Linked DNA regions of Callithrix jacchus. The protein of the gene in region 2 interacts with the protein of the main gene of each other region in a biochemical or structural test. Links are inferred from orthologs where the notes say so. Each region holds a gene or a part of one and is shown on either strand. Other genes may lie near its edges. The genes, in order: FGFBP1, FGF2 and PTX3.

What was found.
Region 1: the proteins of FGF2 (region 2) and FGFBP1 form a complex in vitro, tested with the Homo sapiens proteins (2 studies listed by BioGRID and IntAct, with this or other methods). The link is inferred for Callithrix jacchus from reciprocal best matches to the Homo sapiens genes FGF2 and FGFBP1.
Region 3: the proteins of FGF2 (region 2) and PTX3 form a complex in vitro, tested with the Homo sapiens proteins (3 studies listed by BioGRID and IntAct, with this or other methods). The link is inferred for Callithrix jacchus from reciprocal best matches to the Homo sapiens genes FGF2 and PTX3.

What each region holds. Positions count from the first base shown.
Region 1 is NC_133504.1:177,943,763-177,947,941, forward strand, and holds FGFBP1 (fibroblast growth factor-binding protein 1), read left to right. Parts: upstream 1-1,370; 5' UTR 1,371-1,460; intron 1,461-3,001; 5' UTR 3,002-3,021; coding exon 3,022-3,726; 3' UTR 3,727-4,022; downstream 4,023-4,179.
Region 2 is NC_133504.1:74,751,792-74,755,439, reverse strand, and holds part of FGF2 (fibroblast growth factor 2), read left to right. Parts: intron 1-1,100; coding exon 1,101-1,204; intron 1,205-3,648. UniProt on the Homo sapiens protein: Acts as a ligand for FGFR1, FGFR2, FGFR3 and FGFR4. Also acts as an integrin ligand which is required for FGF2 signaling. Binds to integrin ITGAV:ITGB3.
Region 3 is NC_133518.1:28,117,322-28,121,757, reverse strand, and holds the start of PTX3 (pentraxin-related protein PTX3), read left to right. Parts: upstream 1-1,547; 5' UTR 1,548-1,631; coding exon 1,632-1,761; intron 1,762-2,210; coding exon 2,211-2,612; intron 2,613-4,436.

The DNA.
Region 1 (4,179 bases), about 100 Mb from region 2:
CTGGAACGTGCCATGCACTGCATGGCCGAGGCTCCACGTCCTCTGCAGTCTCTCCAGAGCCACTGGAAAAGGAGCTTGTTTCCTAAGCTCATGGAGATGTGAAGAAAGCTTGGGGAAACAGCTTCAGCACAGAGCCTTGCACGATGTAAGCTCATTGGAGGAAGTATATGTTTCTCCCCGTGGACATCCACAACAGTGTGGGTGGCGTAGGGAGGATCAGGAGCCAGTGACACCAACAGAGAGGGGCTGGCATTGGAGTCTGGCCTTGAAGGATGAGGTGGTGTGTGCCAGGTGGAGAGGCACGGGAATGGGATCCCAAGGGCAGGGAACAGCAGAGGCAAAGGCAGGAAGTGGGCAAGGGCATGGAATGTCTGCAAATGGTGGGACAGGGTTTCACTGTGGCCAGATTGCAGTGTGTGTGTGCGCATGTGTGTGTTTGTATCTCTGTGTATGTGTCAGTGTTGCTGTGTGTGTCTGTGTGTGTGATTCTGTGTGTGTATGCTGATGAGTATGAGTGTGCATGTGTCTATGTGTCAGTGTGTGGGTTTCTGTGTGTCTATGAGTGTGTTTCAGTGTGTGTCTTTGAGTGTATGTCAGTGTGTTTGTGTAAGTCTTTGTAGGTGTGTCAGTATCTATGTGTATGTGTCTGGGTGTGTGTACCTGGAAATGAGTTTGGGATGGCAGGATGAGCCAAGGATGCAACTGCCCCACAGCCTGCTCTGATGCTGTGCTGCTGAGTCTAGCAGGGAAAGAGCAAAGCAGATGCTGGAAAGGGAGTCACATGAAGGGAAGGCCCTGGGAGCCAGCAAAATGATTCTGCTCTACTTTATGATAATAGCTTAGCCCAGTAAAAATTCCCAGATTCTACCAGGCTCTGAGAGGCTAGTAAAGAGGGAATTTTTAACATAAATTTCCCTACTGCTAGAATTAGGAAATCCTCTGTTTATGTAGTAACTTCAGATGCTAAAAGGAACTCAGACACTAAGAAGACTTCGGCAACTTCAGTCACCCATTCAACAAATATTTGAGAGTGGCAGGCAGGAAGAGATCAGACCATGGATCTAGAGAATCTCACATTCAGTTATGAGATCCCCCTTTTCCTGACTCTGTGAACTTGGACAAGCTATTGCATATCTCCAGTTATGTATTACTAAGTAAAAAAGTACTATTTTTACATTTTTTTTTACCCAGAGTAAACAGGGAAGAGCCTGGAGGAAGCATTTAATGGCGCAGGTCACCCGCCTTCTCCCTGGATTACATCCAGCACTTTCCCTGCAGGAATGGGCTCCCTCGGAGGGGCGTGGCTGACGAGCTGTGAGTAAGGTGTCAAAAGTGAGTGTTATAAAAACCCAGTCAGCCTGGCTCCTGTTGAATAGTCCACCCCCTTGCACACTACCTGGGACAGCTGCAGCCTGCAATTCACTCCTGGGATCGCACTGGATCTGTGTGCTCAGAACAAGGTAAGAGCCTTGCTCCTTTTAACAGCTTTATTACATGCCACCACTTCTCACTCCACTGAGGGCCTGGAGTTCCTTGGGCCTGCAACCCATCATGGGCAGGTTGGGGGCTGAGCCCCAGGGCTGTGAGAAATGGCTGGGTGTCAGTTGGGCATATGTAGCCTCCTCTTCACTATTTATTGCTGTTCTCTGCCCTTTCATGATTGTATTTCTCTTCGTTAAGCCTAGAAGGAGGCCAACTTCTAGGGTAGAAATTAGATCAGGACCATTTTATAAAAATTCTGTGTTTTGTTTTAAATGGAGTGCAAATAATATAAATCATCTTATCATCATGCATTATATCAAACTAAATTGGCATCATTCATAGTTGTTTTTCTTATTCTTTGCCAATGTTTTTAAAGGGCAGAGTAAATGTGAAAAGCAAAAGGGATCAACCAGGGTGACGGAAAGGAATAGGGAGATTAATCTGGCTACCCATACCAGCTTTGAGACTTGCCCACTGTGAGATCCTGAGCAATTTATTTACCTGTCTGAGCCTTAAGAGTCAGAGCTGTCACCTGGGATAACATACTAATAGTTACCTAGAAGAGCTGTTGTGTGGACTTAACAAGGTGGGAATCAAACCCCGGACCAGTACGTAGCACACAAGAGGTGTCATACAGAAATGGACTTCTCTTCTGCTATTAAGCATGGGTTTTTATTGTACACATCATCAGATCTGTGCAATTCAGTGTGACATTGATGTTTATCCTATTGATTCAATGATTTCTCATGATCCTTGTCTTCAACATTGTAGTGTGAACTATCCAGTTGAAATTCACCTCTCTCCACCCTGGTTCACTTTGCCCAGGCAAATCAAACAACCTCCCCACCTCATGCCTTTCCTTTGGCTCTTACTTCCTCCCAAAAAGCTCCCCCACCCCCACAACCCCACCCACCACACCCAAACCCCAGGCATGTTCAACTCTGGCACAACGTCACCTTCCGTGATGGTTACCACATCCTTTCTCATTTTGGGCATTTGTGTCCTTATGGAGTTGTGAGATAGAAATCTAGTCCTTTGGAGCTGGAAAAGAGTTTGGAGCAATAGCTTGTTTCAGATTAAGTGGAGGCAGAGATGATGGGATAGATTCCCTAATTGACGCCATTTAAATTCTCTCAAAGAGTGACTTCTAAGCTCTCTCAAACCTGAGGTTTCTTGTTCATGGTGATATCTTCAACACCTACTCTGGTGCTCAATAAATGCTTGTTGAATGAGTGAATGAAAGAATGAGGAGTGAGCAAGTGCAGGAGTTGATGAGTGCATAAATGAGAAATGAGAATTCGTGAGGCTCCTAAGAGTGGTAGTTTTGTGACACTCAAAATTCAAGTCAAGTGGAAATGTGAGTAGACAGGCTGCTTGTCTGGTGCCTCTAGGAGCCAGAAGCATTCTTGGTCTACTCTGAAATCAGGCAGATACCTGTCAGGGTGGAGGGGGGCCAGTGTGTAGTCCTGCACAGCTGAACTGCTGCCTGCCACTGACTCACCTGCCTTTTGTCAAACAGGTGCCCGCCCAGCTGCAGCCATGAGGATCCATAGCCTCACCCTGCTCTCCTTCCTCCTACTGGCTGCTCAGGTGCTCCTGGTGGAGGGAAAAGAAAAAGTGAAGAATGGACTTCACAGCAAAGCAGTCTCAGAACAAAAGGACACTCTGGGCAACACCCAGATTAAGCAGAGAAGGAGGCCTGGGAACAAAGGCAAGTTTGTCACCAAAGACCAAGCCAGCTGCAGATGGGCTGTGACTGAGCAGGAGGAGGGCATCTCTCTCAAGGTTGAGTGCACTCGATTGGACCATGAATTTTCCTGTATCTTTGCTGGCAATCCAACCTCGTGCCTAAAGCTCAAGGACCAGAGAGTCTATTGGAAACAAATTACCCGGAGTCTGCGCTCACAGAAAGACATCTGTAAATATCCCAAGACAGCTGTGAAAACCAGAGTGTGCAGAGAGGATTTTCCGGAATCCAATCTTAAGCTAGTGAGCTCCACTCTACTTGGGAGCACAAAGCCCAGGAAGGAGAAAGCAGAGATGTCCTCCAGGGAGCACATCAAAGACAAAGAGAACACCCCCTCTAGCCCAGCAGTGACCCAGACCATGATCACCAAAGCTCCCGAGTGTATGGAGGACCCAGATGTGGCAAACCAGAGGAAGACTGCCCTGGACTTTTGTGGAGAGAGTTGGAGCTCTCTCTGCATGTTCTTCCTCAGAATGATTCAGGACACGTCATGCTAATGAGGTCAAAAGAGAATGGATTCCCTTAAGAGATGTCATGTCATAAGTTCCTCTGTATGCTATAAAGCTCTCTACAGTCCCCAATAGATAAGAACTTTTGTGCTAAGTGAGTGCAACAAAATATTTAAACAGATTTTGCAATTTTTGCTTTCGTGTTTTGGAATTTGCTTTATTTTTTTTAGATGTGATAAGTCTTTGAGCTGAATGAGCCAGAGTGATAATTTCAGTGCGAAGAACTTTCTGCTGAATTAACTAAGATAATAAAATTCTGGATGTTTTTCAGAAACACATTCAAACATTGCTTGGTTTCTCTGTGTCTGGTCCCAAATAAACTCATAAGGTAGTCCCCATATATTAATGGAAAAACAATCTAAAAAGCAACTTCCAGTTCCCGATCCTTCCCAAGTTCTCTTTCCAGAATCCTTTATGTTTTTATCTATCAGTCTGTGGTGT
Region 2 (3,648 bases):
TTCTAAAACTGTATTTTTTTTCTGTTGCTTTCAAGAATATCCCAAACATATCCATAGGATATAGGATGACCTATGAAAATAGGTTGGACAAACATTTATCTTGCTTATCTTATGATAAGCAGAGTTCTGAGAAGTTTGGTAATAAAGAGTTAACTTGGCTTAATTAAGATTTTTCTAAATCATTTGATCCCAGAACCTGTTTTTTATGTAACATCTCTTAGCCAAAATACATTTGGAGGAATGTTGTTCTAGGCAGGAGAATGCTGCCTCTGAATAGCAAAATGATCTTTATTTTTATTTCAGTTAATTAGGTTATTATTTGTTCATATTATATTATCATAATCAAGTAATATCTTTGTTTTGTTTTTCTATAATCTGCTTAATATTGGTAATGTAGTATGACAAGTCATCTTTGTCAGGATCTTAGTTTATGAAAATCTTTCCTCACACTTATTTTATGAAAATCATTTGTTGTATAAGCAAATTAAGTATAAACATTTTGTGTTTCCACTAGATAAATATTTGCACACAAAAAATAGACATCAAAATCCGATATAGAAAGCTAAATGCATCTGTATTTCATTGAAGAGGAAGCTAGAAATAAGATGTATAGAAATCGAGGAAATACAGTTCAAATTATAACAGTGAACAATTAGATTGTGTTTTATTTGTGAAGAATTGGCAAATAAATTTTTAAAGAGTTTAAACAAAGGAGTAGCGTGGGAATTCTCACATGGTCTACACTTTTATGTACCCTTAAAATATGTTCACTTAAAAAAAGGTAAACAGTTAACAGGGCCAATTGAAAGCTAATTGCCCAACCAAGGAAACAATTCTCCATCTATCCCCCTTCTCTGTTCACCCTGTGACATAGGTGACAAGGGACTGACAAGGCACTGGTGCCCTAGTAGTTCTGCATCTCGTCGTCTCTCATACAGTTTAGTTGACATCTGCTCCCTGTTGCCTATACTCCCAACCTCACCAATCCTCCAAAGTGGATTAGTTGTTGCTCAGGCGTGTTTTGTCTTCATATTGTATAAATGTTATAGAGAAGACTTTTTCCTTTGTGGTGCTACAAAAATAATTTTTTCCTGTTACAGTCAAACTGCAACTTCAAGCAGAAGAGAGAGGAGTTGTGTCTATCAAAGGAGTGTGTGCTAACCGCTACCTTGCCATGAAGGAAGATGGAAGATTACTGGCTTCTGTAAGCATACTTTCTGTTTTCACAGGTTTTTTGTTAGGTTTTATTGCAGTTAATTTACAAGCATTGGTGTTTATCAAATCTTTATAAAGTATTTTACATGTATCATCTTCATAGTCACACTGTAAAATGGTGAGTATCTATTTCACAGATGCAAGAACTGCTGTTCTAAGGAGTAAGTAAAGTAAGAAAATAGCTCATATAAAGTAGAGACTGGATTGGGCTGGGGACAGTCATGAACTCGAAATCACTGCTTTTGCTCTGCAAAACTATTAAACTATAATTTTTAAAAGTTTTCCTTCTATTGTGTAATTGAAGATCAGTGGGAATAGATGTATAAAATTTTGGTTATCAGTTTTTAAATTTCTTCTTTAGAATGTGACATACAAAACACTTGCAGTGTAGAACATTAGTTGAGAATGTAGACTTTTCACCTGGTACAGATGCTGACTCTGCCACTTATGAGATGTGTGTTCTTAGGCAAATTATTCTGAGTTAGTTCCCTTACCTGTAAAATGGAAACAATAATGATCCTATCTCATTGGGATTTTATAATTTAGATACAACACAACAAGCATCCAGATCAGCATTTGACACATAATAGATCCTGAAAATTGTTATTTCCTCCTCACGTTACTTCTCATATATAGATATGTCAAGAGAGGGACTTTTTTTTTTAAATGAGATGGAGTCTCACTCCATCGTGCAGGCTGGAGTGCAGTGGCGCTATCTTGGGTCACTGCATCCTTTGCCTCATGGGTTCAAGCAATTCTGCCTCGGCCTCCCAAATAGCTAGGATTACAGGAGTACACCATCACACCTGGATTTTTTTTTTTTTTTTTTGTATTTTTTAGTAGAGACAGGGTTTCACGATGTTGGCCAGGCTGGTCTTGAACTCCTGAGCTCAGGTGATCCACCTGCCTCGGCCCCACCAAAGGGCTGGGATTACAGGTGTGAGCCACAGTGCCTGGCTGTGGAGAGGGACTTTTCTTTTTTACATTTCATCACAGCTTGTCAGAGGTACTAGTCCTGTCTAGTATTCTGTCCACTATTACAGACTCACTGTCAGCTTCACCATTATTATTAAAGATGGGATTGCTTATCTGTTGAGCATACAGTGTATGAAGAATGGTGCAGGAAAATAAAGAAATACAAAAGACACAGATCTTATTCCTATCTCCTTGAGGGAGTAAATAGGACATATATATAAATGTGTGTGTGTGTGTGTGTGTGTGTGTGTGTGTGTGTCACAGCTCTTATAGCAATGCCACTGGCCAGTTATAGCCTTTCTATATAACCTCCCCAAAGAAAGGATCTAATAGTATCAGAAATTGTGGTATTTTGAGCTGTACAAATAGTTTTTGAAATTTCTTCTGAATGAAGACCTTTGGATTTCTAAAAATACCAAAACAAGACTTAAAAAGAAAAAGAATATTTCAACCATCCCAATTTTAGACTGATTATAAGACAAAGATATACTTATGTTGATATTATCAGTTTATGTGATTTTTGCAGGATAAATCACAAATTTGAGTGTAGTGGCTCTCAATTTTTGGGGGAGGTAGTTGAATAAATTTTAGAATCATCTTTAAGAACAGCCACTACTTATTGAGTGTAAGTGTGCCAGATGCTATAGTAGGCATCAGGCTTATAAAATTGAATATCAGATGGTCTCTGCCCTTAATGAGTGACAATCCAGGGGAGACAGAAGTATAAATAAGTATTTATAATAAGGTATAAGGGTTTTGATATGCTACTTCTATATTTTACATACATGCATAGTGTTATAGGAAAAGATAAGTATTATGATAGAGGAAGCAATACAGAAAAGGAGGTGATTAAATTTGTCTAGAATTGGGGGAGATGACCTACAAGTAGGATTTTAGATGATATAGAGGAGGAAGGAGTTCAGCAGGCAGTCATGGGGCAGAAGAAATAGAGATGAAGATATAGATAATTGTAGGACATGGGACATGCAAAGGTGTGGATGCAAAAATCTACTTGATGCATCTCTATAATTACAAGTAATTAATGAATGCTGGAATGTACAGTGCAATGGAATAACAAGGCAGAAGGGAAGAGAGAGAAAACCAGGAAGGTAGACTGCCTGCTGAATCTCCTGAAGGGCTTTACACATCATGCTGACTATAAGCAGTGGAGAGCCAAGAAGAGTTTTAAGAGACCCAGTTAGATTTAAATTTGAGAAAGATCATCCAGGCAGAAGTATAGAGAATAGATTTAAAGGGGCCAAGACTGGTGGAGAGAGATCAGTTAGAGGGTCACTGTCATAGTCCAGGCAAGTGATGTTCGGATCCTGGCAATACCAGTGGGTTATAGAGGACTGAGGAAAGTGTTAGCACTTGTGATTGATTAGATTTAGGAGTAAAGTTGAAGGAAAAGTCAAAGATGGCTTTTAGGTTTCTGGTTTGGGTGAGAAGGTAGATGCT
Region 3 (4,436 bases), on a different chromosome or scaffold from region 2:
TTCATTAATGTTCATTTCAGCTTTGCCTAATTTGCCACTTAATCCATGCCTTGAGCTTTTAAAAATTTTAATTGCCTTTTTTTTTTTAATTCTAGAAGTTATATTCGGTTCTTGAAAAAAATCACCTTGCCTTTTTCTCTTTGACAATGTCTTATTCTTTTCTTGTATGTTCAATTCCTTCCTTTAGAGCTTAAATAATTTTAAACATATTTATTTTCTAGCCTTTGGCTGATATTTCAAATAAATAAAATTATTGGGGAGAGGTGTCTAATTCTTTTTGGTCTCTGCTGATTTTCATTTATAGTGGTTTGCTTCCTCACATGTTCAAATATCATAATATCATTGTGATTTTTTTTTTTACAGTGGCGGACAGTATACATTGGAATTCCAAACATGTTTGAGGTCAGGCCCAAATTCACAAACTCAGAGGGACCTTGTAGAGTTCAAAGAGAGACATGGTTGCTTCCTACCTTTTTGTGTTAGGGCAGAGTAGAATGTACCTACTGAAATACAGTATTTAACCCTCTAGGTTCCTGGCTTTCATGAAGGTCTCTTCTAATTCTCCGCCTTTGAACTAAGCTTTGCTTCCACATGGTCATCAACATTTGGTGATTATAGAACTAATAACCCCTAACGGTCTTCATTCCTATTCCAGAGGGGCCCTAGCATCAGCTCATGGGATTGTTGGTTTTGGTTTCCTCTCTCTCTTTGGCTCCTGGATATTTCCCTTACTTTAATGGGAGCCCATCTGTATCTTTTAAGTTTTTATTAATAAATATCATGTGAACATAGACCTGTATATATTGTTAAAAGCAAAAATCTCTATGTTTACTTTTAAAATAGGATCCTTGCCTCTACACCTTGTAGAGTAATATAATGTCTGCATAATACCAAGTTATGAAAAAAAATACCTAAGTAGCTAAATAAGTATATTCCTTTTTTCCAGCTTCCACCCCACCCCCACCCCATTTAGGTTTACCCAGGTGTACGGTGTTTATCATTTAAAAAGTGTGTCTATAAAAGTATAGGTGCAACTACAACAGAAGGATTAAAGACAAGATAGCTTGGATTGGACTTGACTTCCAGAGCCATAACAATTCTCAATATGTTGGTTTATCTTGGAATCAGACCATTTTCATTTTTAACCTGTAAAACAGTGTACAAAGGAAACATGGAAAGTTTATGAAATAAGAACAGCTCACAGAAAATGCTGAAATGATGAATTCCTTCACTATCCTCTGAAATTACTCCCCCTACCCCTTCTTCATTTTCATTGCTATCAATTCATGTTACAACAGCTAATTCTCAGGAGAATAGTGGAAGCCCAGTTTCTCTCCTCTTTCCCCTCTGACTCTGAATCTGACTGCAGTGTAAACCTTTGTGGTTTACTATTGTGCAACTTCCACATTTCCCTCGCCCTCCCACCCAGCCCCCTCCCCCACCAAATCCAGGGGAACTCCCGTTACCACAGTGCCACCAGCATTACTCATTCATCCCCATTCAGGCTTTCCCCAGCATTTATTAAGGGCTCTCTCCTCCAGCCTCTCACTCTCATTCTCCTCTGCTCAACCTCAGTTCACTTGAGAGTCTCCTCCCACCAGCCGTGGAACGAACTTTGCGTCTCTCCAGCAATGCATCTCCTTGCGATTCTGTTTTGGGCTCTCTGGTCTGCGGTGTTGGCCGAAAACTCGGACGATTATGATCTCATGTATGTGAATTTGGACAACGAAATAGACAATGGACTCCATCCCACTGAGGACCGTAAGTTCACTTTAATGTTTCTCTGCTAACCCTGACTACATATCCACGTCTTGGTCTGAATAATACACATATATACTTTGTAGCCAGTGAGACGAGTTAAAATATTTAGTTTGTTTTGCCAAAGTGAGAAGCACTTGAAGAAAGAGGGAGGTTTCAAAGTTATTTCTGTAACGTACATAATGGGTTGAGTCATATAAAATCGCCGATATTTGACTGTTTTGAGCTACATAACCGGCGATTTCATAGGATACAACTTAATCTACACCTGAATGAATGATTTCTGTTGTTCTTGAGACATTTACGTGCTGTTTTTCGGAGGTGTTCTTAAAGGCAAGGGAGATGCCAGGGACGGGCTGCAACTTGGCACCACCGAGGGAGGTCAGCTTTTACAAAGCACATCCTAGGCAGGCCTGGGCGGGCTGGTAACGTGTGTGCATCCCGCGCTCTAGCCACGCCGTGCGACTGCCGTCAGGAGCACTCGGAATGGGACAAGCTCTTCATCATGCTGGAGAACTCGCAGATGAGAGAGGGCATGATGCTGCAAGCCACGGACGATGTCCTGCGGGGCGAGCTGCCGAGGCTGCGGGCGGAGCTAGGCCAGCTCGCGGGCAGCCTGGCGAGGCCGTGCGCGCCAGAAGCCCCAGGGGAGGCCAGGCTGGCCGGTGCTCTGGAGGAGCTGCTGCAGGCGAGCCGCGACGCGGGCCGCAGGCTGGCGCGCCTGGAGGGCGCGGAGGCGCGGCTCCCAGAGGAGGCGGTTCGCGCCCTGGCCGCGGTGCTGGAGGAGCTGCGGCAGACACGAGCGGAGCTGGGCGCGGTGCAGGGCTGGGCGGCCCGGAGCTGGCTGCCGGCAGGTAAGGAGGCTTGCTGGGCCGGGACCTCCCCCTGCGGCTTTGTTCCGGGAGCGCGCGTAACGGCGAGTCAAGCCAGGCAATCTTCTAGGGGAAGCTTTCATGGGAAACACACACACACACACACACCCCTATTTCTCCTTGCACGGCACAGAGCTCAGACACACCATACAAGGCAGGAAAATAGGCTTTAAAAAAGTATTCCTCAGTCCTAAGGAACTCTAAAGAAAATTGTGGAGGTAACCATCACAGTCTTGAAATAGCCTTCTAGGGCCCTGACACCCGTTCTGATCAGACGCTGCAGGAGGTCCACTGGCCGGTTATAACCGTGACCCATCTCGCCGCCCAGCTTCCCTCCGTTAGGGATTTTCACGTCTTCTAATTTTATCTTGCCTCTGTCTTTTGAGGAGCTCTGGTTTCCCGCACTATTTCGGGGCCCAGGCTAACGTTTAGGGATGTTTTCCAGCCCCTCAGCCGGCCCCTCCTCTCCGCCCATTCTCAGCAAGAAACTTGAGGCTGAATCTAATCTCCCGAAGGGTCAGCGGAATTCTCCAGGGATCCCCCAGCCTCCAGGGTTTGTGGAATAAGCGCGACAGGGGAGGTCAGAGGGTGTGCGGTTTGAGATTCAGCGTGGAACAGTCAAGTGTGGGAGCCAATCCGTGAAGGCGATCCCAGCTCCACCCCAGGGATTCAGAGAACTGGGCCAAACAGGAGAGAGACTGTTCAAACCAGAGGCAACTTCTCAAAGTATCCATGAATCTCTAAACAGACATGAGTTCCCAAAATAATACATTCTAAAGATGGTTAAAAGAAAGAAATCGAAGACTTGGAGCCTAGCAATACTCCTTTGTATGCCAAAACTTCTAAGAAATGGTGGTGTCACAATCAATTTGGATTATATTAGAAAATCAGTGTCCTAGGTAAGAAAATATAATCGCAATTTTCCTGAGAATTCTTCCCTATATTTCCAAGAAAACCACTTTTGCTGGATGGGGGGAGAGAAGAAGCATGTTTGAGGGCATGTTTCACTTAAAGTTAGAGAAATTATACCATATTTTCTAAATATTTGAGGAATGCTTATCAGTAAATATCAAATACTGCTTCAGAGGAGAAAAAAACATAAAATCAAAAGTACAGTAGATTCTCAATGTAATAGGAGAGAAATTAGAATTCTGCAGCCATTTTAATGAATGAAATGTGTTTTGCAAACAAAGTCATTGTACATATAATGCACCTGAAAAACTGAAGAATTACTCTATTTTTTAATCTTCATCTTTGCACATTAGTTAGAGCAGAAGAGGGATGCATTTCTGAATTTAAAATGTTAATCCTTATTACATCGATAATACTTTTACCAATATGCTTTGGTTTCTCTTTTCTTGGTCTCCAGCCAACTTGGCTCCTAACCATTCTGTTGTTAGCCTCCTAAGAACCTGGCTTTAATTTTGTTTGGTCTTCGATAATCAGAAAAACCTATTAGTTATCAGCCATTTCATAAGAGTTTCTGATACTTTAAAGAAGTATTAAGAGTCTTCTTTAAAGAAGGCCTTTAAGAGCCTCTTCTTTAAAGAAGGCTCTTACTACTTTAAAGAAAAGGTATTAAGATTCTATCAGAAACTATCTTATGAAATGGATATAACTTTTGGGTTATCACTGGTTCCCAAAAAGAAGCTCACCCAAAATAGCCAACATGTGGTTCATCTATCCATGAACTTAAGTAGCCAGTGTAGCCTAGAGAGAAGCTGAGTCTGAGATGCAATCAAGGAGTGCTTTGGAATGCAATCCTGACTGCCTGGGCTTATTTAAAGAGGAAATCACTTAATTAGA